Linked DNA regions of Astyanax mexicanus. The protein of the gene in region 1 purifies or fractionates together with the protein of each later gene. This does not show direct contact. Links are inferred from orthologs where the notes say so. Each region holds a gene or a part of one and is shown in the gene's direction. Other genes may lie near its edges. The genes, in order: pabpc4, paip1, mkrn1 and larp1.

Region 1 (7,102 bases):
TGCAACAAAATGCAGATACCCCTCTGAATATCCGGCTTCTTTTGGTGGTCAGTATTTATTGGTTGCGCCAGTCGGCTAATACTCATGCACTAATCCCAGAATACTCCAGTTAAGAGTTTACGTGCACCAAGAAATGTCCATTCCATTTTTAATCCAATCTACTTATGTTTACATCACTACTTCAATCATCAAAAAACTGCAGTAATTTGGTAAGGATGAGGGTCATACTGCATCTCATGCATCAGTTTCAAATATTTGATGCCACATATTGATGTATTGCAATATTGATTATTTTGTCCCATCCCTATTGCGTTGTTACGTAGTGATCATTCTCTTAGCCAATTGTCTCTTTGCAATATTTGTTTTAATCCACACTGTATGCTTGAAACTACAAATAAGTAAATTATCAACTTTAAACTACTGTAGTTGCCATGCAGTTGTGGATCTGACCCCTCCATTGTTGTAGTCCTTTGTAACAGGACTGAGCATGTTATTTAAAGCAATGTTCTTGTTTTCAGAGTTCAAAGCAGTGGTGAGCACTGGTCCACTATCAATCAAGGAACAGGAACTTGAGAAGCAGCCGCTGACTGGCAGAACTCCCACCATTTCCAATAGAAGACCCTGGATCTTGTCTGGTGCGTCTCCATCAGGAGCATTGACCTCTTCAACTGGAAAGGGTTGGATTGTCTCTGGAGCATCTGTGTCTGGCAGCCCTAAGGTCAACCGCTCCCCCTGGCAGACATCACCTGTAACTGCAGATTTGGCTGTAGGCCGAGGCCTAGGAGATGCTTTGTCACTCTTGCTACCAGGGCTTATGATGGGTGTTCAGTCTAGCCCAGTCATTGAGATAGAAATTGGCTATCCTCAGAGGAAGGGTAGAGCTGATCTTCTATCCGGTCAAAGCAGCGTTCCAGCTGATGTGTTTTGGAGGAAACCAGAAGCCAAATTTGAAGCAAGTCTGCAGAGAGAAGATCCACAGCAGGTGTTTCCAGCAGTTAAACCTGCATATCAAGAACTTTTGGGCATGGCTGATGGGTATCCTCTGGCTGATGCCCCACATTTACCGAGTGGTGGACACTATGCAGAAGCTCCTCAGCCACCTTTGGAGAGCCTTCCTGACAAGCCTGAGGAGGAACTGAGGGGTGATGTGTTCACAAATTTTAGAGAGCCACAGCTGGAGAAGGTTTCCTCAGGCGAGAACTCTGTTGCTTCTATGTATGATGTGCAAAAAAGTGATGTTCCAGAACTGATTGAAGACCACGATGAAGGTGATGTTCTGGTTGTCTCTCACACAGAACTCTTGTTTAAAAAGGCTAATGCAGATGTACTGGATAAGCCTGAGTTTCTGAAGAAGTCAGAGTTGACTTTTAAGGGAGTTTCTGATGAATCAAGCTCACTTGACTATGCAGAAGAGCAGGGGACGCCTGGTTTGGATGATCGGGAGGAGTCGGCAAAACTGAGTGCTAAGAAAGAACTGGTGTCCTCCCTGATGGCGCTAATGAGGTAATGACGTTTTGCTGTACATTAAACTTTCATTTTGGTAGTTTTCTGCCCAAACCTTTGTTTGTGCACTGTACTGGGGCTGATGTAATTGTTGACCAGATTTATAGTTAACATGGGAGCCAGAGCCAAACCAAAATTCTGTATTTTAAGCACAATTGTACAAGAAGGGTATCTTGCTGAAAAAAGTCTTAAAGTGCTTTACTGAGCTAAACTTTAAACTTAAAATATCTCGGAATAAATGAATTAAAATCTAAATTTAAAGTGTAAGTGTTTTTTAAGGGCTTCACATTGAACTGCGTATGGCTCAATGCCTTATGGACTATCCTCTATTGCAGTTACATACCCCTCAGATGCTTAACACCTGTAGTGTGGTCCTCTAATTTTAGTTGACCATGTGCTACTATGCTGGTATGTCTTGGAGTAACTACACTAATACAGTTTAGATTTTTTGTTTTTTTTTTGTACATCAATGGCTAAAATAAGGTCTGAATGGCAAAAAAAAAACTACCGTTTCCAACTGTCAATAATATTGGTTACATTTGGTTCTTGTCCTGTTTACACACTGACCTTTCCTTTTCTCTGTGCTTGCAGGAAGCTGAATAAGATGTTGTGACCTGACTGAAGTACTGCTGTACAACCATGAAAGCTTAAACTGTGTAAATAAAATGCAAATTTGCAAACTCATTATGTTGATTCCTTTACTTCTGATGAAAGACTTTGTTCATTTTGTGACCTGAAGTTGAACAAGGTGTCCAAAAGAAGTGTTTAAATAGCTTATTGCGATATTTCTAAGAACACCATTGTAATTGGTAAACATGAAGACATTCATTCGTTCGTTGCTTAATTGGTTTTAAACCCTGCCCACTAGATAGCAGTGTTGCACTATTTAGATCCCGTCAGGGTGTGAATATTATACAATGATGCAATCTAGACCTCTACCCATTGCATTTAAAGGCGTAGACTATCCAAAAATCTAAATGTCAGATTTGTTCCCTTAAATTATTCATTTTACAAAAACAATTTTTATAAGTTAACATATTGATTTGATGCATGAATATTTGACAAGGTATCTGCAGCACCTCAGTGATTAACTAATTTATCTAGAAATGATGCCTTTCTTTGTAACTTTTGATGTAAATGTTTTTGTGCATTGTATTTGTACTAAGTTATAGTTAGTATAAAGATGGCATATCTGATGTGGAGAGAGGGAATGGGCAGCTTGAGGAGATGAAGGATAGAGCAGCAGGTAGACTGAGGAAAAGAGGTGTGAGCCAAAGACTGATGCTGAATGCACTGCAGAACGACAGACTGCGTTGTGGAGGAGCTTTGGGCCAAACTGGACTCTCAGAAGCTCCTGGATGCTGACCGAAAAGTAGCATAAGCTGGAAAGAATGGAGAAGGAAAAGAACCCTGACCTGGAGAAGGAGGAGGAAGGGCAGCAGAAAGTGGTGTCATACACACACTATCTATACACACAGATTGTTTTTGTTGGTTGTGTCCAGTGCCACAAATGACTAGACTCATGTTCCTGTCTTTTTTCATATATACTGTAAATATACTGTATTACTGGCCCTTACCACTGCCTGTGGCCCATGTGTCCTGACCATAGACTGTGTATAAAAAAGACCTGACAAACTGCAGCAACCCCACATGATTAGCCTAGATCAATTCAAGTGGTGATTTTTTTTTTCTTGGCCAGACAGAGTATAAAATACTAGGGCAGAGATTTGAACAAAACATACTCTAAAGTGCTCCATCAAAAGGTCTCTGTGTGCTCAGGACTATTTTTTTTCTTATTTTCTTTTCATTATTACTTCTTTTTTTTTCAGGACAACCTATTTATTTATTTTTTATTAGATTGGAAACTTTACCACCTGCTCTGTGAAGCATTTAGTTGCTTTCATCAGGGTCGCTGTTAATTTGCAGTTTCTGAGGCTGGTAATTCTGATTAATTTATCCCATACAACAGTGGTCACTCTTGCTCTTTCTTTCCTGGGGCGCTCTGATGAGTGACTGCACTTGAGGATGCTTTCAAAAAGATATTACATTTTTGGGATTGACTGACCTTTATTTCTTAAATCATTTTTTCTTTACTAAGTAAAGTAGTTATTGCCATCATATGGATTATAGCATTACTCAAATAGGGCTATTCAGTGAGAGCATCAGAGAAAACTTTTCACTGAATACCAACTCTACCTCTTCACAACTTTACTGATGCTCTCAAAGAGGCAAGAAATTCAAGTAATTAACTAAATCATTTAAAAATAAAAAATATTTTTTAAATCTTTATGTACTTATTACAAAAAGCAGTAGAAAGTTCTCAGAGTGTAATATGATGAATTTGTCAACAGAAAAGACACGACTAATTTATATACTGTATTACTGTCCACCTTCTCCGCTGCCTGCGGACCATGTGACCTGAGAGCTCAGATATCTGCCTGCAGGGGGCGCTGTTGTGCAGGCGGCTGAGGGAACAGAACAGCTGTCACAGATCGCAGCGTCCCTCTCCCTTTAACAGCGCATTCTTGGTGTGTGTGTGTGTGTGTGTGTGACCGCTCCTTGCTGCACTTATAAAGCTCCCATGCGTTTCCCACGCGCTCTCTTTCCCCGGCCACCCAACCGTGAGTGTGTAACTCACTCCTCTTTAGTTACCTTAAAAAAATAAAAAACATATAAAAATTACAAAATACAGAAAATCTTCATAAAAAAACCAACACCTCGCGGACTAAACCAAAAAAAAAAAGGAAAAAACAACAACACATTTTTATTTTTTAATTTTTACCAAGCGTTTTATTTTCTCTCTCAAAGTCAGAACAGGCCTCTGCGCGCTCCGGGACTAATTATTCTAAGTTTTTTTATTATTATTATTATTATTATTATTATTTTTATTTTTTTGGTTTTTATTTTTTTTCAGGACCACCTATAATTTTTTTTATTAGCTCGGAAACTTTACCACAGGTAACAGCAGCGGAGCCGGGCTAAACAGCTCTATCCCTCTCTCTCTCCCTCTGCTACACGCACACACTCACTAACACACACACACACACACTCAGCCCGGACCCTCGCGCTCCTCCGCCGCTCCGTTTTCAGCCGGACACCGAGGACCTCGCGCTATGAACGCGGCCGCCGCGGGGAGCTACCCGATGGCCTCGCTGTACGTGGGAGACCTCCACCCGGACATCACGGAGGCCATGCTGTACGAGAAGTTCAGTCCGGCCGGCCCCGTGCTCTCCATCCGCGTGTGCAGGGACATGATCACGCGCCGCTCGCTCGGCTACGCCTACGTCAACTTCCAGCAGCCGGCGGACGGTATGTACGGACACGCTGCAGGCTGAAGTGTGTGTCGGTTGTGTGTGTGTGTGTGTGTGTGTGTGTGTGTGTGTGTGTGTTCCGTTTGTGCGGTTGTGATGGTTGGGAGCACATGTGTGTGTGTGTGTATGTGTGTGTGTTCAGCTGTTTGAGGTGGGTGGGGGATATGGAGCTCTGATTGTGTGTGGTGGACATTCAGCAGACTGCTTCTGTAGTGGAGCACGTGTGTGTGTAGCAGTAACTGTAGGTGTATGGCAAGCCAAATGGGTCAGAATTCGCCTGGGTCTGACGGCGCTTAAAGCGTGCGAAATACTTAAAAAACGCCGTCCAAAACGCCGTGCAGGGCTTACTTTTACGCCTTGGAACAAACGCGAGGCGCCGCCAGGCGTTTAAGAGCGTGTGGCGGCGCCAGGCGCTTACATAACGCCACCACGCGTTTTCATAACGCCTCCAGGCGTTCCATATGCAAAAACGGACAGAATATACATATCCCCTCCTTCTCCAAGCAGTTCAGCCCTCTGACTCTGTCAGGGAACTATATCTCCTGTTAAAATAAAAGCCCCCAAGTGCTTCAAATGTCTGCTGTGTTATTAGATGTGCTAGATTCATGTATTTCTGGCTAAACTGGGCTTTGCAAAATGTAGTCCCTGATTAAAACATAACAAAATGTAATCAAATGTACTTATTTTTTATCAACTCTTTCATTGCTGGCCTATTTAGTAATCATGTTTAATTTGTCTGATGCTGCAAGACCTGAGCCAGCCAACACACACACACACACACACACACACACACACACACACACACACACACACACACACACACACACACACACACACACACACACACACACACACACACTCTCTCTCTCTCTCGAAGGCATTGGGGATTTTAATAAAACGCGCAATACAGAGACCACCACAGCATATAAATGGAGAAATTAGGAAATCAACCGGACACACAAAATCCAGCAACACATTTAGCAGATCTGTGTAGAGATTCTATACGTTTTAGGGTCACTCTTAAAAAAATAAAAACTGTTCACTATGAGATCGTAATATTCCGAATCATTCAGTATTCAAGGTATTCCTTAATTAAATTGTTTTTGATCATGGTACATCCTTATATTATTTTTTGCTTTCTTACTTTTTAAATAAAAGCCCTTTTTGTATCGCTGCCGCTCAAACGGGCAGCGTGGGTCTAAAATAAGCCACATTCATTTTCTATGCTACTTCAAGTATGGCTGTGTGGTTCTATGATATATTTTAGCAACGCATTAATTCCGTCGTTCAGAATTTAATTGACGAATTTATGAATGAGTGTTTCTTTTGCACAAATCTTCATTTTCATTCTCCTTACACAGGTTTACACACACGGGTCAGACACAACGCACATGAATTTACCATTTCACAGCTCAGCACAGCTCCCTCAGTACTGTTTTACGATAACATCACCTTAGAAAATATTTGATGCCACTAGTGAAAGATAACTGTATATAATATTTGATTAGGATTAGGTTACCATTAGAGTGAGAATATTACCTGTCAGAAAGTTACAAGTACGTATTATTAGATGTTGACATATTCTATTTTAGTTAGGTTAATATACTGTAGTACTTTGTTAGGCCATTTAGCTACAGGGTGTGTTTATAATAATGTTCTTGGTGACAGTAACTAAAATATTTTATTAATTTAAAGAATAAACATTTTTAATAAAATAAATAGTACAGTCTAATATAGGATAATGATAATAATAATAATAATAATAATAATATTGACATTATTTTGACATATTCTATTTTAGTTAGCATTCTGAATATTTTGTAGATTTTTTTAAAACTGCACACACACACACACACACTTTTATTATTACTATTATTATTATTAATATAATTTTATTCCCGATGGGCCGGGGCGAGTTTGGGCCGGTTGGACGGAAAAAATTATTTACCCTCACTTCTCTAATCTTATTCTTGCATTCATTGCCATTCAACTACGTATGCACTCTCTATTCGTCTGACAACACAGCCCCTACGTCGGGTTTAACCATCTGAGGGAATTCTCCTCTCCCAAATGTTTGAGTTGGTTGCGTCCACGAGTGGTCTTTTCTGAAGCGATCAAATTAAATGCAGCAACAGAATAGCACAAAGCGTCAGACGACTGTGATGGAGGGTAAAAAGAGGCCAGGTGGAGCCGAAAAGGCCATATTAAAAAAAGAAAGAAGATGGAAGAAGAAGCAGCCAAATGTGCAAAATTAACAAACTTGTTTTCCAGAAGACAGACTTCAGCTG
Region 2 (7,994 bases), on another chromosome or scaffold:
CTGACAGCTGAAATCTCTGAGCTTTTTGCATCCTTCCCCAAAAACATGAAAAATCTTTGTTTTCAATTCATTTTATAGTTGTGTTTTGAGGCTGCCATGTTGCCACTCTTCAGAGAAGATGTAAAGAGGAGGAAAAACTTGCAATTGGCTACATGAACCCTTTCTGATAATTAGATTCACTTGTGTATGTAGGTCAAGGGTCAATGAGCTTACCAAACTAATTTTGTGTTCCAATAATTAGTGCTAAATATATTCAAATCAATACAACAAGGGTGCCCAAAGGTATCCATCTGCCTATTTTTGTTTAAGGAATAATTACGCACTTTCTGTAAAAAATAAAGTTAATTTTACTTCTCAAATATCACTGTGTTCGTCTGCTATATGATATATTTAACTGAAATTGCTGATCCCAACAACCAATTTCATTCGTTATTGCCTGCAATGGATGCGACAAGTGCTTCCATCATTCCTGTGTAGGAAACCCACCTGAAGAAGAGGAGTTCCTTTGCCCATTATGTAAACATTAAATTGCATATACAGTATATTGACCTCCTAAAAAGTGACTGAGCTAATTCAGGTCCAGGTAGTTTGTCCCAGTAATCTCACAATTAATTATATGGAGTTCAGTGATGAGAGCTTTCAGACTGGTGTCTTTATACTGCACTCAGCTGATCCCCATTTCACTAACTGAGAGACTAGTAACACCAACTACCTGAAATTGGATAATTAATACTTTTATACAATCACTTACGTTTTATATATCTATACACTGACATTTTGTGTATTTGACCGTTTAAGCCAAATGTGATAGACATTGTACTTTTATTTTATGTAAATAAATGTGTAAACCCTTCAACCAACCTTGTTTAATGGTTCTTTTTCATTGTCTCCGTTTCAAACTGCAAAGTTCTATGTTTAGAACACAATATTATTTCAATCTTTGTCATTATAAATCACAGCACATAAAAACAGATGGAAACTGTCCTGAAAAGAATGAGTATATTTAGGTCAATAAATATGTTTACTTTTTGTATTGTGAATAATTTGCTTTAGTAATGTAATACATTTAGCAAACAATTAGTCTTTGTCTACTCCAGGATTTTGACATACTCTAAAATAAGCTTTTTTACTTGTTAATGAAATAAAAACCTATTGCCATGCAGTGGATCTTGATAATTATCCCCTACAGCTGTGACATTCAGGGGTAAAACTCTTGTTTTCTTGACCTAAGATAACTAGTCTAGATAACTAAAATAACTAGACTTAAGTACAAGTCTTTTTAGAAAACATGTTTATTCTATGAAATGTAGGAGTTTACAAAACATACAGAACATTAGCTGGTGGAAAAATAAAATCATAAAATAAATCATTCTCCAATATTAAAACATTCTACATGTGGTATCTCAAACAAATATACATATAATACTGTGTAGAAAGAGGATCACACAAAGTAGCCATAGAGTGGCTTACATACACACACACACACACACACACACACACATATATATATATATATATATATATATATATGTATATATGTATATATGTATATGTATGTGTGTGTGTGTTTATATATATATATATATATATATATATATATATATATATATATATATATATATATATATATATATATATATATGTGTGTGTGTATGTATGTAAGCCACTCTATGGCTACTTTGTGTGATCCTCTTTCTACATTATATATATATATATATATATATATATATATATATATATATATATATATATATATATATATATATACACACGCTAATAAACACATACAAACCAGTTAACACATTTTTTAACAGCACATTTCCCCTAGTTTTGGTAATATGCAGTACTTCGCACGGTCACATTCTAAAAAACAAGACACAACAGAATGTATGTTAGACAAAATAAAGCAAAAAATAAATAATTCAACATTAATGATAATGTTACATTAGATATTGGTAATCAACATGTATTTGGATGCCAAATACATCTAAACTGATTAAACTGCACTGACATGAATTAACAGCCAGAAAGTCCAGGAAAGGTAATTAGATATTTATATACCCATATATAAATATAACAGCTAGCCAACGCCAGTCTGTTAAATGGGGAATCTGGCAATAGCATGGTGTACGAACCTCAATAGTTACATACACAAGATATCTAACTAACTAAAACAGAAATAAACTGATTTCGTCAGTCAATAATAAACCACAGAGATAAGAGGACGCTCTACATATCTATTAAATAGCTAATTTACTCACTGTTTATTTTCATCCAGTCACCCAGTCTCAATGCCAGCTACCTAACAACACATAAAACACCTCACCTAAACTGGGCTAAACTAGACTCAAATAACGTAACCTCACCTTGCCTCACATCACTTCACCTAAACTAACCCAAACTAAGATAAACTAGGCTTAACTAAGCTAAAGTAAGCTAAACTAGCCTAAAGTAAGCTAAATTAGGTTTAACTAAGCTAAACTTAGCTAACTTGACCCTCTCCTAACCTAACGTAATTTCGCGCTCTGAGCCACTTCCAATCATGAACACACAACCATTTCAACAATAAACACTAGTTTTAAGAGTTTTTACGAACGTGAGGACGAGTAAACAAGTTATAGTTTACTTACGACTGTAGGAGCTGTGTTCTCCCAGCAGCTGCCACGGAGCTTCTCCACAGGTGAAAAAAGACGCAGCTCCCACAGGCTTCAGAGCTGTGTTGTGATTGGCCGCTGTGAGCTCGATTAGCTCTGCGCTTGATTGGTCATTCTGTGTACCCCGGATGTTTCCCTGAAATTTTTCGACCTGAATTTTTTTTACCTGAATTTTTACAACTTGAATTTTTATAACCTGCATTTTTTCGACCTGAATTTTTATAACCTGAATTTTTACAACCTGAATTTTTAATCCCTGAATTATTTTTTTGCTACATGATTTTTTTTTTTACTTAAAAATTTTGTACCTGAATTTTTTAAAACAGTCCTTATCTGAAATTTCAAGACCTGAATTTTAAATATCTAAATATTTGAAGGTAAATTTTTCAAGAACACCAGATTACACACTCTTTATTTTCAAGAATCATGTTTTTTTGTTTCAGGTTCTGGTGACACTGATTTAACTCCATACAATATAATCAAGCAAAATTAAATTGTATATACAATTTAGAATTTATTGTAATGCTAATATTTTTTTTACAAAACAATTCTTATTAGTTTGTTTTATGGTGATCTTGTGAAAGTAAGTTTGAATTTTGGTCACATTTTCACAATCTGTAATAAATTTATAGAACCAATTTTAAATGAAACCCAGCACGCACGGATTGATTTATGTACTTCAGTCAAAAGACAAAAAACTGAAAGTTTTAGTCTGTCGGGTTTGTAATTGGCGATCCGATAAAATCAACCAACTGTGCTACACAGGTAACATTTGTGTATACGCGGCTCTCTCTATACGGCTCTCACGCACGGAGAGCCGCAAGGCTTTTAGGCGGGCCCTCCTATCAATCTCTGATCTGATAATCTAATCAACAATCCCCACCTCCAACAATACGCACCACCAAAAAATAAAAATAAAATAAAACACCCCCGCCAAAAAAAACACCCCCCCAAAAAGCTAAAGTGGCAAATAGCTAAAGTGTTAATATTTGGGTGAAATAAGTCTTTAAATCTGTAAGCAGTTAGCTAAATTTAGCTAACTGCTTACAGATTTAAAGACTTATTTCAGACTTATTTGGGTGAAAAAAAACTTTAAATCTGTAATTAGTTAGCTAAAGTAGTAATATTTGGGTGAAATAAGAATTTAAATCTGTAAGTAGTTAGCTAAAGTAGTAATATTTGGGTGAAATAAGAATTTAAATCTGTAAGTAGTTAGCTGAATTGATAATATTTGGGTGAAAAAGCCTTTAAATCTGTAAGTCGTTAGCTAAAGTAGTAATATTTTTGTGAAATAAGTCTTTGAAAGATTAAGTTAGATGACTTACAATTTAAGTAACCTTTATTCTGTGTTCCTAGTGCTTTACAGTATGCTGGCTTGAAGGTACAGAGTTCACTCTTTAGTTTATTGTATATATTTATATTCTATTTACTTGTTAATTTCACTGTAAAGCAATTGGATTGCACTTGTGTATTAAATGTTTGCTATTGCCTTGCCTTTTGTTTGTTTATTAATTAATTATTTGATTGTACCAAATAATAAAAACCTCTGGAATATAATCAAGAGGAATATGGATGATCACAAACCATCAAACCACCAAACTGAACTGCTTAAATTTTTTGCACCAGGAGTAAAGCAGCATAAAGTTATCCAAAAGCAGTGTGTAAGACTGGTGGAGGAGAACATGATGCCAAGATGCATGAAAACCAGGATTATTCCACCAAATATTGATTATTTCTGAACTCTTAAAACTTTATGAATATGAACTTGTAATCTTTGCATTATTTGAGGTCTGAAAGTAAATAAATGCTCAAAATGAGAATATTTTTATTTGTAATTTGGGAGAAATGTTGTATGTAGTTTATAGAATAAAACAACAATGTTCATTTTACTCAAACATAAACCTATAAATAGCAAAATCAGAGAAACTGATTCAGAAACTGCTATAAGTAATATATTAGTGTTTAAATGTTAAGTTATATATTAGTAAATGTGTGTTTTTAGTGTGTTTTATGGTAAAGAGCGGCTGCAGTTGTCGGCAGGGCTCCAGCAGTAGGTGGCGCTGCTGTTCGGCGGGTCTGCAGAAGCTCCGCGGCTCCAGAAGAAGCGCTGGGAGGTGTTTGTAGTCCAGATTGGATCTGTAACCGGAATATTCAGTAAATAAATAAGATCTCCGGCCCCCCGCTGTGACCCCGCCGCCCGCGCGCCCGAGATAGCACACACACCGGACTCGATCAGCTTTAATCGATTAATCTGACCAGACTCGGGTCCGGCGGATGATCGTGTGAGCTGTGTCCGCCTCTGCTCGCTCTCAGCTCGGCCATGGCGGAGAGCTTTGACCGCGCTCCCGGAGCGGAGAGGACCCGGGGGAAGGCCGGCTGCCCCCCCGGCGTGAGAGACGCTTACCCCGGCCGGCAGGGCGAGGAGGACCCGGGGGCTTCGGTCTTCAACCAGTGCGAACCTCTCAGACAGCCCAGGTGTTCTATCATTTCATCCTACCCATCGAGTGGTCCTACCGAGGCTTACTGCGCATGCGCACATCATTTTTACGTCAAATGACGATGGTTTTCGGGTACGCCCATAATTTTATCCTACCTGGATATAAGTACGGTGAGTTAACTTGATCTTTATAATGTTTTAACGTCTATTTAATGTTCATTGTTTGCTTTAAGCTTACTATATGAACTAGGCGTCATGTTAATGTCTGCAGGAGTGTTTTAAACGTGTACATAGAAGAAAAAAATACCTTGAGTGGTTAAAAATGGTGCGGTTAAGTTCAAAACTATTCAATGTTTGTAACGTTAACGTTACTCACGGTGGTTTCGGTAGTTTGCGCTTACCCACGTGTAACTACGAGCCTTACCTCATTAATTTGGTGGGCTCAAGAGCACAAATATATTCAGAGGCTGTTTTAGGGCTTTTGAGCAAATACAGGTACATTAGTCTGGAGTTAAGACTTGTCTTTTAGCCTGATAAATGTACACAGAAGTTAGCTAGCCGAGTGAATTAAAGCTAGCCTTCTAGACACGGTTAGTTGAGCCTATTGTCTACGAAACTGAAACTTAAACAGGCCAAACCATGAATACTTAATATACAGTAATATAGTATAATATATATATATATATATATATGTCTGTGTGTGTGTGTGTGTGTGTGTGTGTGTGTGTGTGTGTGTGTGTGTGTAAATATATATGTGCATATATTTGTGTGTGTATATATATATATATATATATATTTCTATTATAATAGAGTGGTATTATCAGTGCTTTTTGAAATTGTTTTGGACTTTAAATTGACCCTTTTCTTCCATCCATCTTCCGTGATAGCCATGGAAAAGAAGTGGGAAACAGTATACAATCTTCTGTCTTCGGGATCATACCCATCAGACTTTGACAAATCACAGCGGCAGAACCTTCTGAGATATGACTCCAATTTTCAGATAAAGGGTTAGTTTGTATAAGCATCTCTCTTTTTATGATCTCCTTTTTGCTCTCTCTCTCACCCACACACACACTCAGATGTATAGCATATATATGGTGATTATGTTCAGAATTCAGAATTACAAGCAAAAACAGTACTCCCTTCATTAAAACTATAGGTAGGATAATTCGATAGCCTAATTATGATCATAAAACAGTACTTCCTTCATTAAAACTATAGGTAGGATAATTCGATAGCCTAATTATGATCATAAAACAGTACTCCCTTCATTAAAACTATAGGTAGGATAATTTGATAGCCTAATTATAATCATAAAACAGTACTCCTTTCATTAAAACCATAGGTAGGATAATTCGATAGCCTAATTATAATCATAAAACAGTACTCCTTTCATTAAAACCATAGGTAGGATAATTCGATAGCCTAATTATGATCATAAAACAGTACTCCCTTCATTAAAACTATAGGTAGGATAATTTGATAGCCTTAATATGATCATAAAACAGTACTCCTTTCATTAAAACTATAGGTAGGATAATTCGATAGCCTAATTATAATCATAAAACAGTACTCCTTTCATTAAAACCATAGGTAGGATAATTCGATAGCCTAATTATGATCATAAAACAGTACTCCCTTCATTAAAACTATAGGTAGGATAATTTGATAGCCTAATTATGATCATAAAAGAGTACTCCCTTCATTAAAACTATAGGTAGGATAATTTGATAGCCTTAATATGATCATAAAACAGTACTCCCTTCATTAAAACTATAGGTAGGATAATTTGATAGCCTAATTATAATCATAAAACAGTACTCCCTTCATTAAAACCATAGGTAGGATAATTTGATAGCCTAATTATGATCATAAAACAGTACTCCCTTCATTAAAACCATAGGTAGGATAATTTGATAGCCTAATTATGATCATAAAACAGTACTCCCTTCATTAAAACCATAGGTAGGATAATTTGATAGCCTAATTATGATCATAAAACAGTACTCCCTTCATTAAAACTATAGGTAGGATAATTTGATAGCCTTAATATGATCATAAAACAGTACTCCCTTCATTAAAACCATAGGTAGGATAATTTGATAGCCTTAATATGATCATAAAACAGTACTCCCTTCATTAAAACTATAGGTAGGATAATTTGATAGCCTAATTATGATCATAAAACAGTACTCCCTTCATTAAAACCATAGGTAGGATAATTTGATAGCCTAATTATGATCATAAAACAGTACTCCCTTCATTAAAACCATAGGTAGGATAATTTGATAGCCTAATTATGATCATAAAACAGTACTCCTTTCATTAAAACTATAGGTAGGATAATTCGATAGCCTAATTATGATCATAAAACAGTACTCCCTTCATTAAAACCATAGGTAGGATAATTTGATAGCCTTAATATGATCATAAAACAGTACTCCCTTCATTAAAACTATAGGTAGGATAATTTGATAGCCTAATTATGATCATAAAACAGTACTCCCTTCATTAAAACTATAGGTAGGATAATTTGATAGCCTAATTATAATCATAAAACAGTACTCCCTTCATTAAAACCATAGGTAGGATAATTTGATAGCCTTAATATGATCATAAAACAGTACTCCCTTCATTAAAACCATAGGTAGGATAATTTGATAGCCTTAATATGATCATAAAACAGTACTCCCTTCATTAAAACCATAGGTAGGATAATTTGATAGCCTTAATATGATCATAAAACAGTACTCCCTTCATTAAAACCATAGGTAGGACTGTAAAATCTCATTGATAATCTAATAAAGTATTTAATTGTATTATGTAGATGGAGATCTGTTTTTTGGGAATCAAAGAAGGGTTATTAAAACCAAAGAAGAAGCCATGTTGCTGTTCCAGGAGTT
Region 3 (6,852 bases), on another chromosome or scaffold:
ATTATTCTGTATCTCATTTAGTTTTTTTGTTTTCTGATCCACCAGAATATGGTGAACCTGTGGTCTTGTGGACCACTTTAAGACACCACTGATTCAAAATATTAATGTTAATAGAGTATATTGTGGCGTGGAAGAGGAACGAAGACCCGTGAGACTCATGCTGAATGCTCAACAGCTCCTTTATTGAACCGGCTTGCCACTCACTTACAGTCTTTAACAAGACTAGGAGAGCTAAAACCATTACCCACAGAACTCTAATAGCCCAAAGGCCACCAACCCAGCCACCAAAGGCCACCAACCCACCAACCAGAACAGAAACATGCCTGCAGGCAGCCACACACACAACCCAGAGCCGCCACAATATTAAAAAAAGCACATAATATCCTATCATAATATGGCTTATTCCTATTTATCATTTCTACCTCTACCCCTTGTTCCTAATTGTCACCCTTTCACTTAAAACTGAGTTATAAAGGAAAGTGACAGAAATCTTCCCCCAATGAAAGGGAATAAAGTTTCAAGAACCTGATATGCTATCTAAATAAATAAGTAAAAAACAATACTGCTTCATTATCAGGCTAATAGCTAAAGAACATTGTGCAGTGACCCTGCCAGTCTGTTGTGATAGCAGAAGAGACATAAAATTGTCTTATATCTCTTGTCTGGGAAAAAAAAATCCACAAATATGAACAGTAGTGCTAAGAAATGAAAGTACAGTGTAATAATCCAAAAAGTGGTTTGTTGCCTGAGGGGCAACACCACACCATAAAGGGTTAAGGATGATGTTGTTGAGGGTACAATGTATGGTGGAATATATAGGCACTTGTAGACTATTCTTTATTCTAACTGTGTACATAAGAGGTTTTCCATCATAGAGCAGACCTGAGTGTTGTCTGGTTGACTGGGATTATGCTTCACTTCATTGGTACTATGATGTCAGAATTTCCGAGTAGGAAATTTCAACTGGAACCCTGACCAACCCAAGTTCAGAATCCAAGATGGCTGCATCACTCATTAACACAGATTATTAACAGTTCTTTGTATTTGTGTCTCACAGAGCTTAGATTGGGCCCAAATTTCCAGCCCGACCCAACCTGAGCCCATGGACGTTCTGCTGAAGCTCGACCCGACCAGCCCTATAAACTGACTTTGTTAGCCCAAGCCCAATTTAAACCCGACATTTTTTTTGTCAGTAGATTGCTAAAACGGAGCTTTTAAAGACATTTTTAGGCTGTGTGAATGAGCAAAATCTGTACAGAATGGTGTTAATTAAAATTGCAACACTAAAAAAGCATAGACCTGTTATTCAATAAAAATGTTTATTAATACATGTGCACAGTGCTTACTGCGCAGTTCCAGAGCTGCGAGATTATAACATTCTAACTTGTGCAACTTTATTATATTATATACTATATTGTTATTATCACGCCATAGCTTTATATAAAAAAAATACCATTAAAAAACAGACGCCTACTTCACAGACCATTTTCTTGAGCCTGACCCGACCCAGCTGGAAGAAAGTGGTGTGAAATCTACTAGTAAATAGTATTAATTAATATTACTAACAATACTAACCTGAGGCAATGCTAAAAATAATAATCTTGGACATAAAAGGTAAGATACATTTTGCATGGATTTGCCATAAAATGATAGTAATACATTGTCAGGAGTTTTTGGCTAGTGTTAAAAGTGGTATGCGGTCAACTTGCGTTTGACATTTTTCCCAGTTCTGACATCCAAGATTAATGGAACTATACCTTAGTTATATACCTTAATAAATTAATAAATCTCTTTTATAAGAAGGATAACCCATTAATATTTGTCCAATTTGCAGTTAATTAATGCATGCATAGAAGACAGACAGGTGAACAAAGCCTATAAGCCCCATTGATACAGAAATAGCCTGGGCTGCATAACAGAAGTGCCCTCTTTACTTTGCACCTCATCAGCAAACAGTGAGAAGATGAACACACTCAGAAGCAGGAATACAGAGCTTTTAGAGACTGCTTTAGACTAATTGGTTCTTCAGATCTCTTATAATAAAGACCAGTGGGAAAGAGTGAGCCGCTGTTGCCACAGGGACACACAGGTAATATTTGAACAGGTGTGTGATGACATATTGTAGAACAGTAGGTGGGTGTCACTTCTGTCCACAAAACACAGCTACTGAGCGGCTCTGGTGTAAAGCTCTTTTAAGACACATGGACACATAGCTTCTACAGCACCTTTTCAGCCTAGTGGGATGATTTCATTGCACCACACAACCTTGTCTCCTTCCCAGCTAACAGAGAATGTTATAAGAATGTTAAGCAATGTTTTGAGACGGTAGGGAGGTAGGGGAGTTTTCCATAACATTCCCAAAATAACGTTCAACTCATTCTCTTTTCCACACACACAGGATGTCTAGCATCTCACTGTGGGCGTCAGTCCATCATCTAAAACTCAACTGAAGCTTGAGATGACTTGTGATATGTCTTCATATCGATCCCTTAGTTTTGTTTAAGAACAATTATCATTTATCCTTAACAACTCATGTTAAAAGCCTGATGCTGTCATGCAGGTCTCTTCTCCGCCACATTCAAAACATTTAAATATCTCCATAGAGACTTTAATCAAAGCTTTAAAGGCACTAACTATATATATAATTTAGAGACCACTACAGTTTCTGAATCAATTTCTCTTGCTATTTATAGGTATATGTTTGAGTAAAATGAATATTGTTTTTCTTCTATAAACTACGGACAACATTTCTTCAAAAAAAAAAAAAAAAAATCATTTTAAGCATTCATTTGCAGAAAATAAGAAATGGCTGAAATAAGAAAAAAGGCCAGAGCTTTCAGACCTTAAATAATGCAAAGAAAACAAGTTCATATTCAAAAAAAGTTTTAAGAGTTTGGAAATCAATATTTGGTGGAATAACCCTGGTAATCACGTTTTTAAAGGCATTTTGGCATGTTTTCCTCCACCAGTTTTACACACTACTTTATGCTAATCCTGGTGCAAAAATTTAAGCAGTTCATCTTGGTTTGATGGCTTGTCATCAATCTTTCTCTTGATTATATTCCAGATGTTTCCAATTTGGTAAACTCAAAGAAACTCATCATTTTAGTGGTCTCTTATTTTTTCCATAGCTATATAAAGTGGAAGTGGAACGAAAATTATACAAAGTTTTCAAAAATTGAATCAAATAAAAATCTGAAAAGTGTGATGTGCAAAAGTATTCAGCGCCATTTACTCTGAAAACCCTAAATAAAATCCAGCACAATGCAATTACATATATATATATATATTACTTATATATTACATATTCATAATAATAATTAAATGAAAAAACTTCTTAACACTGTTTATTATAGTTCCTACATGTAAAAAGCTGCTATCAGTGCAAGTGGTTTATTGTTTATGCCGTTTAATTTCTATGTGTTACTAAGAAACTAAGAAGAAAACATTTATAAATTATTAAAATGTTCCGTTAAAAAAATGCAATGTTTTTTTTCAACGTTTTTAAACGTTTCAGTTGTACTAGATTAATCTGAACATGATGTATCTGTGTGGAGAACACTGTTTATTAGATGTAATCTAGTTCACTTGAAAATACGGTACAGCGTGTCCCTTTAGTAAGTGGTTGTGAAGTGCTGCGTTCCAAATCGCACATTCCTGTAGTACGGGGCTTTAGCCGCTTCACCGCCTAGGCTTAGCCGCACAAATACACGGCCCTTTCATATTTGCATAATAATGAGCTAGTATGCTAGTGCGTGGTTTGGAACGCAGCCAGTGCGCTGTGCTGCTGTAGACGGTCCTCTCCGGCCCCCTGGCGGCGAGCGCTGGGATCTGTTTCTGCTCTTGTTGCCGAGGAGCCTCCGCTCCAGCGCGCGGCTCGCCGGAACATCCGGCTGCTGGGCTTCAACATAAACAGCAATGGCGGAGGCAGCGGCGGCACCTACAGCGGCTCCAACAACGGCGGGAGGCTGGACGAAGCACGTAACTTGCAGGTCGGTGGAATGCGTTGGAAGTACAGGTGTTGTCGTGTTATCAAAATGGCCGTGTGTTTAATGCGGACACGCCGTGTCTTGGCTGTACGGAGCCGCTGAAAACAGCGTCTTTTGTCGGGTAGAGAAACACAGAGGGAGAGAGCTGGATGTTTGTTGTTGTGATAACTCGATAGCTGGGTTAGCTATCAGCCAGACTCTCCACAGTAACAGCGGAGTAAACACGGCTGCTGCAGTGTGTTCAGCCTAAACGGTGCAGGGAACACGGCTGAGCTCGGGTTATCTCTCAGTACGAGAACCAGAACACCATTAAATAACGTTTCTCTGAGCAGTTTACTCGTAGACAAGCAGCTTGTTTATGGCAAAGTAAAGAAGTGAAGACAAGGATATTATAATGAGTGTATGAGAGTAAGTTATATAAGTTGTCAGCTAGCTAGTTAGCTTAGGAGAGCTCTATTGTTTGTAGATAGCTGTAAATATGAGGAACAATAGCCTAAGCGACGATTATTGAGGAATGTCAAGCCCTCTATGTGTAATTTGACGCTTTTATTACTTATATGTTGTGAATAAAACAAAAGTCATTTTTGTAGCTCCCCTTTTAAACAATAGCACTGCTCACTGAAGAATTCTCCAACTGATTTAACCGAGTTATCTAGCTTAACCAGTCTGTTAGTTCAGCATGGCATTAAATACTTAAACTAGTTATCTATTTTAACAAATAAAAGTATTTTTGACGTTGTTCATTTAGTCCCCCATTCAGCAATGGCATGCTCTCCTATAGATTTAACTTAAAGATCCACAGTGATAAAGACTCTACGCATGTTTGATTTATAAGCGTCTCTGTTAAGGTTGCTCGTCCAGCTTGTTTATAGGTTTTCTAGGTTAGCTAACCGCACTATGAACTCAAACTAGTGAAGCCACACATGTTGTTCTTCTGCGAACATGCAGATTCGCATAATAACAGCAAGCTGTTAACGTTTCTGTTAACGTCTTGGTCCTAGGCCTATTGTTTTGTAGATGATTGTTAACGTTGGGAACAATAGCCTTAGAGACGTTTTTTTAGGAATGCCAAGTGCTTTAGGTGTTTAGTAAATAGATTATTTTATTATTTATTTATTCTGAATAAACAAACGCTATTCATGTATTCCTCCTTTACCAGCTGATTTTGGTGATTTTTGTTAGCTATTAGCTTAACCTGTCTGTTAAAAGTATGAAAATTAACAGTTTTGAGGCAGATTCTGATAAAGACACAAGTGCAAAGACAAATAAATAGGGGTTAATTAATAGAAATGCACGGATGTGGGAATTCTGGGCTGATGCGTAAATCCAAAATGACACATGTAGCAATATGCCAATGCTAATGCCAATATACAGGTGCTGGTCAACAAATTAGAATAATTTGAAATAGTGCAATCATGAAATTCTTTGAATGCATTTTTTTGTGCAGAAAGCAAATCAGGTGTTCACCGCACCTGTCCTACTCGTTAGACTAATCACAGAACTCGTTACCTGCAAAAGAATTTGCTCAGCTGAGCTTTCCAAAAGGCCCATTTAGGCCATTTAACCGTGACACTGTTGTTTTATTGAATTAGAATAATGGAGAAACCGTTTCATTGAATTAGAATAATTTTTATTATAATTACAATCATCACTTTCTCAGTATTTTGTGGCTGCCCCCTTGGCTTGTATGACTGCCTGAAGTCTCCGCGGCATCGATTTGACCAGCTTGTCGCAAGTTTCCGCACTCACAGCTTCCCAGGCAGTGGCGATGTTCTGCTTCAGTTGGTCCAGCGTAGTAGGCTTTCTGTCGCGAATTTTCCGCTTGACGATGGCCCAAAGGTTTTCAATGACATTGAGGTCAGGCGAGTTGGCCGGCCATGCCAAAACTTCAAGCTGTTTTTTAGTGAACCAATCTTTGGTCGACTTTGCCGCATGAGCCGGTGCAAGATCCTGTTGAAATATGAAGTCTTCTTCGCCTAACTGTTCCTCAACAGTCGGAATCAGGAACGTTTCCAGAACATCTTGATATACGGCAGCATTGACAGTCTTCTTGAGGAAGCAGAGTTTCCCTACACCTCGAGCGGACATGCATCCTCAGACCATAACGCTCTGGGGAAACTTGACGGATCTTTTCACGCACTCGTGGCTGTAGGTTTCGCCACCACGACGCCAGACACGAGGACCTTGGTCACCGAAGGAGATGCAGAAGCGTGATTCGTCACTGAAGACCACTTTCTGCCAGTCTTCAGCAGTCTACTCGCCGTGTTCTTTGGCCCACTTCAGCCGTTTCTCCGAGATTTGAAGCCGAGTTCGCGCAGACAATGGTAAGTGGTTGATCTGGAGACGTCAGCGCCGGTCTGCTTGTTCCACAAGTCGGTGAGCTCGGAAGTGGACTTGAACCGGTTGCTGACTGCGATCTTTCTCAGCTGCTTTTTGTCGCGAGCAGAAGTTTTTCGGACGCCGGAACAGTTGGTGCGCTTGCTGCAGTTTTTCTTGAGAGCTTTGCAGATGGAAGACTGGCTGATGCCGAGCTGCTCAGCAATTTTAGTTTGGGTCAAGCCTTGTTGGCGAAGGGCTTGATTTTGAGCCACTATTCCGGTTGAGAGGTCGCGCTGCTTACCCATGATTGATTTTACAACTTAGAAATTCTACTCAACCCTGACTTTATACTGCACAGTGAACACTCTTCACAGAAAACAAAAATTCGAGCATTTATTCTAATTCAATGAAACAACAGTGTCACAGTTAAATGGCCTAAATGGGCCTTTTGGAAAGCTCAGCTGAGCAAATTTTTTTCCAGGTAACGAGTTCTGTGATTAGTCTAATGAGTAGGACAGGTGCGGTGAACACCTGATTTGCTTTC
Region 4 (7,890 bases), on another chromosome or scaffold:
GTTCTGGAAAGTTATGGTGGCCACACAAAATATTGACTTTAAAGTTTAAAGGTCAACTCGGTAACGTGAAATTAGGACTTGGGGAACATTCATGTGCACCTGCCAAATCTGAAATGCAGCTCAAGTTTAGGTACTGTAGTGTTGAGGTTCTTATAGTAGACGTTGTGTTTGTTGTGTATATATAAATAAAATTGTAAATTTGTGAGAAAATCAGTGGGGAAAAAAGTGACTCAGTTGTGAAGTGACTCTCTGATTCAGTATCAGACTGAACTCTGATGAACTCGGTGACTCCGGGGCGGTTCAGTGATCAGTTCGGCTCCTGCAGTACAGAACCCCACCAGGCGACATGCTGCGGGAACGCTGTGCACGCGCACGTGCACGCTCTGCTCTTACCACGTGCGCGCGACCGCTACGTGCTCACGCCCCCATTCATTTTACGGGCGCGTGCGCGGCAACGGCGACGGCCTATTCGACTGAGCTGAAAGAACCGATTCTTTCTTTTAATGATTCAGTTCAGCGAGTCTTTGATTCAGAAGCTCACTGTGTTGTCTCCGGCAGGTGAGAGTAGATTCGGTTCAGTAAATGAGTCGAATGTGGTTTCGGCTCATTAATTGAGACAGACAATTCAAATAACACTACAGTACCTGAATGTTTAATAGATATAACATATATATTTTTTTTAACATTTAGCCGCTGGTTATTGCTTTAGTGCAGTTTTAGCATTTTTTTTACACTTCTACATATCTAACAATCACTGACATATTATTACAGTTAATATTCAGGTTTTCACGTGTGACTTCTGCGCAATATTTATGTAGAGTACTACAGTCCCTGCATTTAATGTCCCTTGTATATTCTTTTTATTAGATCTATATTATGATAATCTGACTGGAAATAAGTTTACCACTTAAATATTACAGTATTCTGCAAATTGTTAGAACCCAGTTCTGCTTGATTTCTTTAATGTAACATAATGTATTGTTGTATGTATTTGTGTAAATGTGGTAATTTGTATGTGTCATTTAGTTATCCTTTACAACTTCATGCATAACTGCTTTAACAATATTACATTATTACATTTATTGAATGTATAAAATTACATTCTAACATTTATTACATTATTAAATGTATTGCATGTATGATATTACATTATAATTTTATTAATAACTTTAAAACTAAGTAACACTTGCGGGAATGAGTTACTGTTGTTATATGATTTGTATGAATTAATATAGTAAAATCTTACTTTAGTTATTCTTTTATATTTTATGTAATGATCTTTTCTGATTTATATTTATATGTAATTAAACCTGATTTATCATAGATTTTAAATCGTGAATCGGCTCAAGTTTAACTGATACTGTATTTCTATCCCTAACCAAAAGTATAGTAATAATTCTGTTTTTTTATTGCAGTCTGCAAAACATGAGGGTTCTGTAGCAAACTGAAGACATTGTTAATACAATGTTAATATACTATTTGTGTAAATTCATATTAGAAGCATAATAATAATAAACTTTTTTTAAAAAAATCTTTTTTTTATTATATATTTTGATGTAAATAAATCTGCTTTTAATCACACTGATGCTTCAAAACACTTGACATTTAATCATTTTTATATAGAAATTAGATGTAATCAAATATTCTTTATCGTCACACAGACAGATGCTGTAAAACACTTTTTTACAATGCTTAATTTTTTCAGTTTTAATATAATAAATAGATTAAATTAAATATGCTTAGATTCCGAGTGGTTCAGGGGGCTAAGTGCTGCCACTATGATCAGGAGATCACCAGTTTAAATTCTGTTCATGTAGCTTGCCATCGACTACTGTCACCCTGCGAGAGAATAATAGACCTTGCTCTCTCTGAGTGGGTAGATGGCGCTCTTTCCTACCCCTAGGGTGATGTCGATTTGCACAAGGTGTCTGTGAGCTGATGTATCAGAACCAAGTCACTGCACTTTCCTCTGAGCACGCTGGATACTCGGCAATGCTGCATCAGCACAGTTCGAAAAGAGGCTGAGTCTGACTTCACATGCTTCGGAGGAGGCATGTGCTAGTCTAAAACACTCCTGGTGTTGGGGCATCACTAGTGATAGGGGGAGTCCTAATGAGTGGGTTGGGTAATTGCAGAGGTGAAAAGTAACGAATTACATTTATTCATGTTACTGAAATTGAGTAGATTTTATGAGTAATTTGTCATTTTTAAAGTAGTTTCTAAAAAAGGTCCTTTTACTTTTACTCAACTTCATTTTGACACAAGTAACTTACTTCGCTACATTGGAAAACTCCCTGTTACTGAGTAAAAATAAATTGCTGGGGGAAAAAATTGTTTGAATAAAAAAAAATTGGAGCGGATGCTCATGCGTGGAATAACGAAGCAATGACGTCCTCATACAATTCAAAATGTGCCCCGCCGGACAGAGCTGTCAGCTTTGAAAACTTCCACATCAAACCTGAGGAAGCATGTGGTGGTATATGTATATTCTAAATTCACTGGTTAGCTGTGGATTTACTTTACAAACACCAGTAATCTTCGTTCATATGCAGCTACACAGATTATACAATCTTCTGTATTTAGTAAAATATCCAGCGCAATAATAATCCCTTCATTAAAAATTGTACAACCGAACCTAACCTGTACAACCTTCTTTGACTGAATTCTGCCTTCAGGGTTTTCTGAAAAACAGCAAAGGTTAATGAAGACAAAAGGTGTTTGTTATCCTGTATGTTAATTAATTTACTAAGGTGTATTAACTCCCAAATTAAAAGTATATTAAATTCACTGAAAGCTGTATGAATTGCATCTGTCTGCGAATGTAATTGAGGCGAATATAACTTAAAACCCTTAGCTAATGATGATGGATTATATAGATCCCTTTTAGACATCAAACAATGCTAAACTAAACTGGAGACATATCAAACTGCCTAGGTTAGCTAACAAGTTAGTTAGCTAGCTAATCTACCTAACGGAGCTGCGCTACGTTACGTGCTTAATCTGCGTCCACAAACTGAGTTTATTAGAGAAATGCTTCATGATGTTCGCTGTGTTTATGTTCCGCTGATTTTATCACACATAGTTGTATACCTATATGACCATAACTTTTTAACAGTAAAAAAATGGATAATAAAAACCCTGTTCTTTAAAAATGTTTTATGGGGTGGTCTAAACAAATACTTAAGACCACCCAAATTATTATGTGGAATATTAGTTCATTAAAAACTATTTAATTTATGATTTGTTGTACTTTTTTACATTAAATAATTAAAAGTAACTATGTAACTTTTACTCAAAGTACATTTTAAATTTAGTACTTTTTTACTTTTACTCGAGTAGATTTTTAGATGGGTAATTTTACTTGAGTAGAATTTTAGCAAAGTAAAGCTACTTTCACTTAATTACAATTTTTCAGTACTTTTTCCACCTCTGGATAATAGGTCTTGTGAATTGGGGAGAAAAATGTATTTCATTATATATACATTATATACTTTTTTGACATTGTTGAATCTTTTTTTAATTATAAAGGTTGTAATCAAATATGCTTCACTATTTCACAGACACTATTAATTTAAACCACTTGATTTAGACACAGAATCAATTAATTTCTTTGATTTTATTTTCTTTAATCTTTTTTATATTATATTTAGTTGTTATCAAACATGCTTTACACTCATTACACTCTTCAACTTGTTTATTTTTCACAATGTATAGTATTTTAAAGTTAAATACACTTTATCTTCACACAGATGCTTCAAAAAACTGGATTCAGACTCATGAATCGAATCAAGGTTTGATTTTCTTTTTTACAATTTTCATATTTGTTGTAAACAAATATTCTTTATCATCACACAGACAATTCCAGTTAAAATCACTCGCTTCAGAAGCATTTATTTACAATATTATTTTTTTTATATTATAATTGAAAGAAATCAAATGCTTTATGCTTGTGAATTGACTCACATTTCTTTTTACAAAGTTGAATCTTTTTAAAATATAATTAGATGTAATCAAATATGCTTCCTCATATTTATCTTTACACAAGATTTATCTTTACACAAATGCTTCAAAACATGTATTTGCTTTAACACATTATTTTACAGTTTTTAACATTTGACAATTTTACAGTGAGGATATTTTATATAATTATTAGATGTAATCAAATGTGAATCAACTTACGCTTTATAAACTTTTTATGTTAATAATTTTATATTATAATCAGATGTAATCAAATATGCTTTATCATCACACAAACATCTACTTCAAAACACTAGGCTCTGACTCATGAATCGACTCAGGCTTTTCTTTGCACAATGTTGAATCTTTTTAACGTATAATAAGATGCAATAAAATATACTTTATCCTCACATAAATGCTTCAAAACATTTTTTTTTTTTACAATTTAACAGTTTACATTTGTTTAAATTTTGCAATCAGGTCATTTTTAATATTATAATCAGATGTAATAAAATATGCCTTACCATCACACAAATCCTAAAAAACACTCAAATATTTTTTTTATAATATAATTAGATGTAATCATGCTTCACAAGCGCAAACTTCCAATTTAAAGCATTACATACAACTGTTTAATATATTATAATTAGATCTAATCAAATACGTTTTATCATCACACAGATGCCTCACAAAACTTGATTCAGACTCGTGAATCGATTCACGCTTTTCTTTCTACAATGCTGAATCATTTTTTAAATTATAATTACATGTAATCAAATCTGCTTCATCATCGCTCAGACACGGCCGCTTACAATTCACAACATTCGACTCCGACTCGCGAGTCGGCTCAAGCCTTCCACAGAAAGGGGCGCAGTTCAAACGAACCGATTCGTTAGCGACTCGAACACAGGCAGCGTGCGCGCTCCCGTGAGTGGCGTGGTGGAGTTTCACCCAGCCTGGCGGAGATCATCAGCACGAATCTAGCTGTTTTTTTTTTTGAGAGCTTCATGATTGGTGTTCGATCCGGTTTTACATGTGTTGATCCGAACTCGCCACTCTGCGTCTTAGACTGAATCCTTTTGGTCTAGGGGTGGAGTGGAGGACCGAGCCGAGCCGAGTCGAGCTTCTGTTTTTTTCCGGAGGGGGTCGGAGAGCTCGGGAACACGTTTTTGGGCTGAGAGGGGGAGAGGAAAGCAGGGGAGAAGAAGGAAGGAGAAGACGGAGTCATGGCCGCTCAGGTGGAGACCCTCCTGCCGAGCAACCCTCTGCTGAAGAAGGGGGACGAGGAGCGTGAAGGCCCGCAGACGGAGCTCCAGCAGGCCGAGGGAGCGTGCGGGAGAGCCGGCCTAGAGCAGAGCCTCAAGCAGGCGAAGGAGGAGAGCAACCTGCAGGAGAAGGAGAAGAACATGACCATGGGCCAGCAGGACAGGGTGGTGGTGGTGTCTGGGTCTGAGAAGGGCGAGGAGGGAGAGCAGGGTGGAGAAGAAAGCGGCAAGAGGAGTAACTTTAATAAAAAGGAGTTTACTGAAGCACCTCCACCCAAGGTGAACCCCTGGACTAAGAAGATGAACGCCGTGACCGTGGTCAGCGTGAACGGACAAACACAACACAACGGTTGGTAGCTAACTAGCAAACTACCTAATCTAGCTAATTCTATCCTGTAGCTGACTCCATTCGTGTTTATTAACCTTTAATTTTTGCTATGTGTTCCCTAAAACCCCTCGAAACCACGTTAAACCTACTGGGTGTTGCAGAATCTGACTAAAACCTGGCTTAAACCCAGCCAAACCCTGACTTAAAGCATTTTTGGCTCGTACAGATCCAGAAAGTGAAAATCCACTCCAGTATTTTGTACCAACTGCCTGCCTGGCGCTTGTCGCAGCGAGAGCTAGCCCAGCAGTTGGTACGAAATCTTGGAGTGGATTTTACTTCCCCGGACACGGATTCTCCACCTCTAACCCATGTGTTTCATGTGCTTCTGAGATTCCAGCGTTTGGCCATTTCAGAGTTTATAAAATGACGATGAAACGTAAAAAATGCAACAACACCCTATGTGTTTCGCCTTTTTAAAATGAATTTCGCCTAATCCATTTATACCCGTCTTTAAAAACAGCAAATGCAGGCGTTAATCTGTTTAGACTGGTAGCTGGCTAAATGACATGTGGTTGTTAGCATAAAAGCTAGCTAGCCGAGCCCTGCCAATGATCGAGTCGCTTGAGCTAGCTTTAAATACCCCAGTTCTGCTGATTTCAGGGCAGATTGTAAAGGTATTCATCGGTCTGATTACAGGGGGTGACAGGGGATTTTTGATGGCATTAAAGCTGATTACCTGAGCGATAGGAGTGGGATAGGTGGAGTTTAGCATGCCAGCAGTAACGAAAACGGGCTGAAAGTATTGGCTTTAGCTTTTAGGCTAACCCCACTAGCTTGCTTTAGCTAGCCTGCTAGAAGCAGCTATGAACTATTGGCATTAGCTAACCTAACTAGCTTCCTAGCTAACAGAAATACATAGACATGCATCTTCATAAATGGTGATCATTATTTGCAAATGTATTGCATTATAAAATATGTTATAAACAGAACATATATTTTAGATAGTTTGTTACTTAACGTTACTTGAAAAATAGTCTGTAGGCCTCTCTCTCTCTCTCTCTCTCTCTCTCTCTCTCTCTCTCTCTCTCTCTCTCTCTCTTTTACACGCGCACACACATACAACTATAGCTGGTCTTGATATTGCCCTTACATTTTAAGTTAATACTGTAATAACAAAATGAGAATTGAGTTGCATGGTTATTCCATTATATCACCATTCCATCAGTGGAATAAAATACAGTGCTTTAAAGTAACAGGAACATTATTAGTTACAATAATTTGTCTGGAGCAATATATGTATATGACTAGGCTATCCTGTCAAGCCAAGTAGCATCATCAAGCTATTATATTATCCTTTTGGCAGTGACCTAAAATGCAGAATCTTAGACATCTTTTCAAACAATAATCGTCACAATATATCACCCTATGAAAAAATCATTACCGTTACATGCACTATACACAATGAAATATTAAATCAGATATGTAGAGTACGTAGCATATTCATAAGTTTGATCTTGTGTAATAAACAAGCCATTTTTGTATATTTATAATCTATAAATGTAAATATATTTAGTGTACATTTTAAATATATTTTGCACCATATGGGTAACTTAACAACTTATTGGCCTTTTATTATAACGTAATTGGCAAATAATAAAAACTATGTCTTTAAAGTGTAGGTTAACATTGGCTTTAGCTTGGTGGCATATAAAAATCGTACTGGCTATCATTATTAACTATTAACTTTTGTATACTGGCTTGTAATATTATTACAATGTTATTGGCAAATAATAAAACCCTTGGTTCTATAGTATAAGCTATCATTGATTTTGGCTTGGTGGCTAATAAAAATATTTTTTTTGTCTATAACAGTGTTGAACCATGAGCTTTCGCTAGCATTCTGGCTTATTATTGGTATTATTGTTGTTTTAATTATAAACTATTGGTTTGTAGTGCCTAGAACTGTAAAAGCATTGCCTGTGTAGTATGTGCTGGCTATTGTTATAAACTATTACCCTAAGTACATTGGCTAATGCAGTTAGCTAGCTAGCTAATATTAGCCAGTAAAATAGTAACCAGTGGTTAATATTATAACTTTAGCATAGCAGATTTGTTAGCACCCTGGCTGCTGTTGTACACCAGTGAATGTAGCATTCTGCATTAGCATGTTGCTAACTGGCTGCTTAAGGATCTCAGTCTGTAGCGAGAGTGATGTTGAGCTGTTAGCGGCTAGGTTAAGTATGTTAGCAATCTTAGCTGACATACTCCTGCCCTAAACAGGAAGCACTAAACTTTATTGTGCTGTAGTGTTTAAATTATTAATTTTGTGGTGTTGATGTG

Evidence for each region.
Region 2: the proteins of pabpc4 (region 1) and paip1 purify together in Homo sapiens (co-immunoprecipitation; 3 studies listed by BioGRID and IntAct, with this or other methods). This does not show direct contact. The link is inferred for Astyanax mexicanus from reciprocal best matches to the Homo sapiens genes PABPC4 and PAIP1.
Region 3: the proteins of pabpc4 (region 1) and mkrn1 purify together in Homo sapiens (affinity purification with mass spectrometry; 3 studies listed by BioGRID and IntAct, with this or other methods). This does not show direct contact. The link is inferred for Astyanax mexicanus from reciprocal best matches to the Homo sapiens genes PABPC4 and MKRN1.
Region 4: the proteins of pabpc4 (region 1) and larp1 purify together in Homo sapiens (affinity purification with mass spectrometry; 3 studies listed by BioGRID and IntAct, with this or other methods). This does not show direct contact. The link is inferred for Astyanax mexicanus from reciprocal best matches to the Homo sapiens genes PABPC4 and LARP1.

What each region holds. Positions count from the first base shown.
Region 1 is NC_064421.1:41,826,773-41,833,874, reverse strand, and holds the start of pabpc4 (polyadenylate-binding protein 4), read left to right. Parts: upstream 1-4,084; 5' UTR 4,085-4,616; coding exon 4,617-4,812; intron 4,813-7,102. Other genes in the region: zpcx (zona pellucida protein C), read left to right, coding at 1-47, 519-1,503, 2,095-2,116.
Region 2 is NC_064429.1:12,542,639-12,550,632, reverse strand, and holds the start of paip1 (polyadenylate-binding protein-interacting protein 1), read left to right. Parts: upstream 1-4,974; coding exon 4,975-5,113; intron 5,114-5,119; exon of another isoform or gene 5,120-5,262; intron 5,263-5,978; exon of another isoform or gene 5,979-6,098; intron 6,099-7,918; exon of another isoform or gene 7,919-7,994. UniProt on the Homo sapiens protein: Acts as a coactivator in the regulation of translation initiation of poly(A)-containing mRNAs. Its stimulatory activity on translation is mediated via its action on PABPC1. Competes with PAIP2 for binding to PABPC1.
Region 3 is NC_064409.1:10,277,079-10,283,930, forward strand, and holds the start of mkrn1 (probable E3 ubiquitin-protein ligase makorin-1), read left to right. Parts: upstream 1-3,837; 5' UTR 3,838-3,918; coding exon 3,919-3,992; intron 3,993-6,852. UniProt on the Homo sapiens protein: E3 ubiquitin ligase catalyzing the covalent attachment of ubiquitin moieties onto substrate proteins. These substrates include FILIP1, p53/TP53, CDKN1A and TERT.
Region 4 is NC_064424.1:34,118,828-34,126,717, forward strand, and holds the start of larp1 (la-related protein 1), read left to right. Parts: upstream 1-4,870; 5' UTR 4,871-5,183; coding exon 5,184-5,571; intron 5,572-7,890. UniProt on the Homo sapiens protein: RNA-binding protein that regulates the translation of specific target mRNA species downstream of the mTORC1 complex, in function of growth signals and nutrient availability.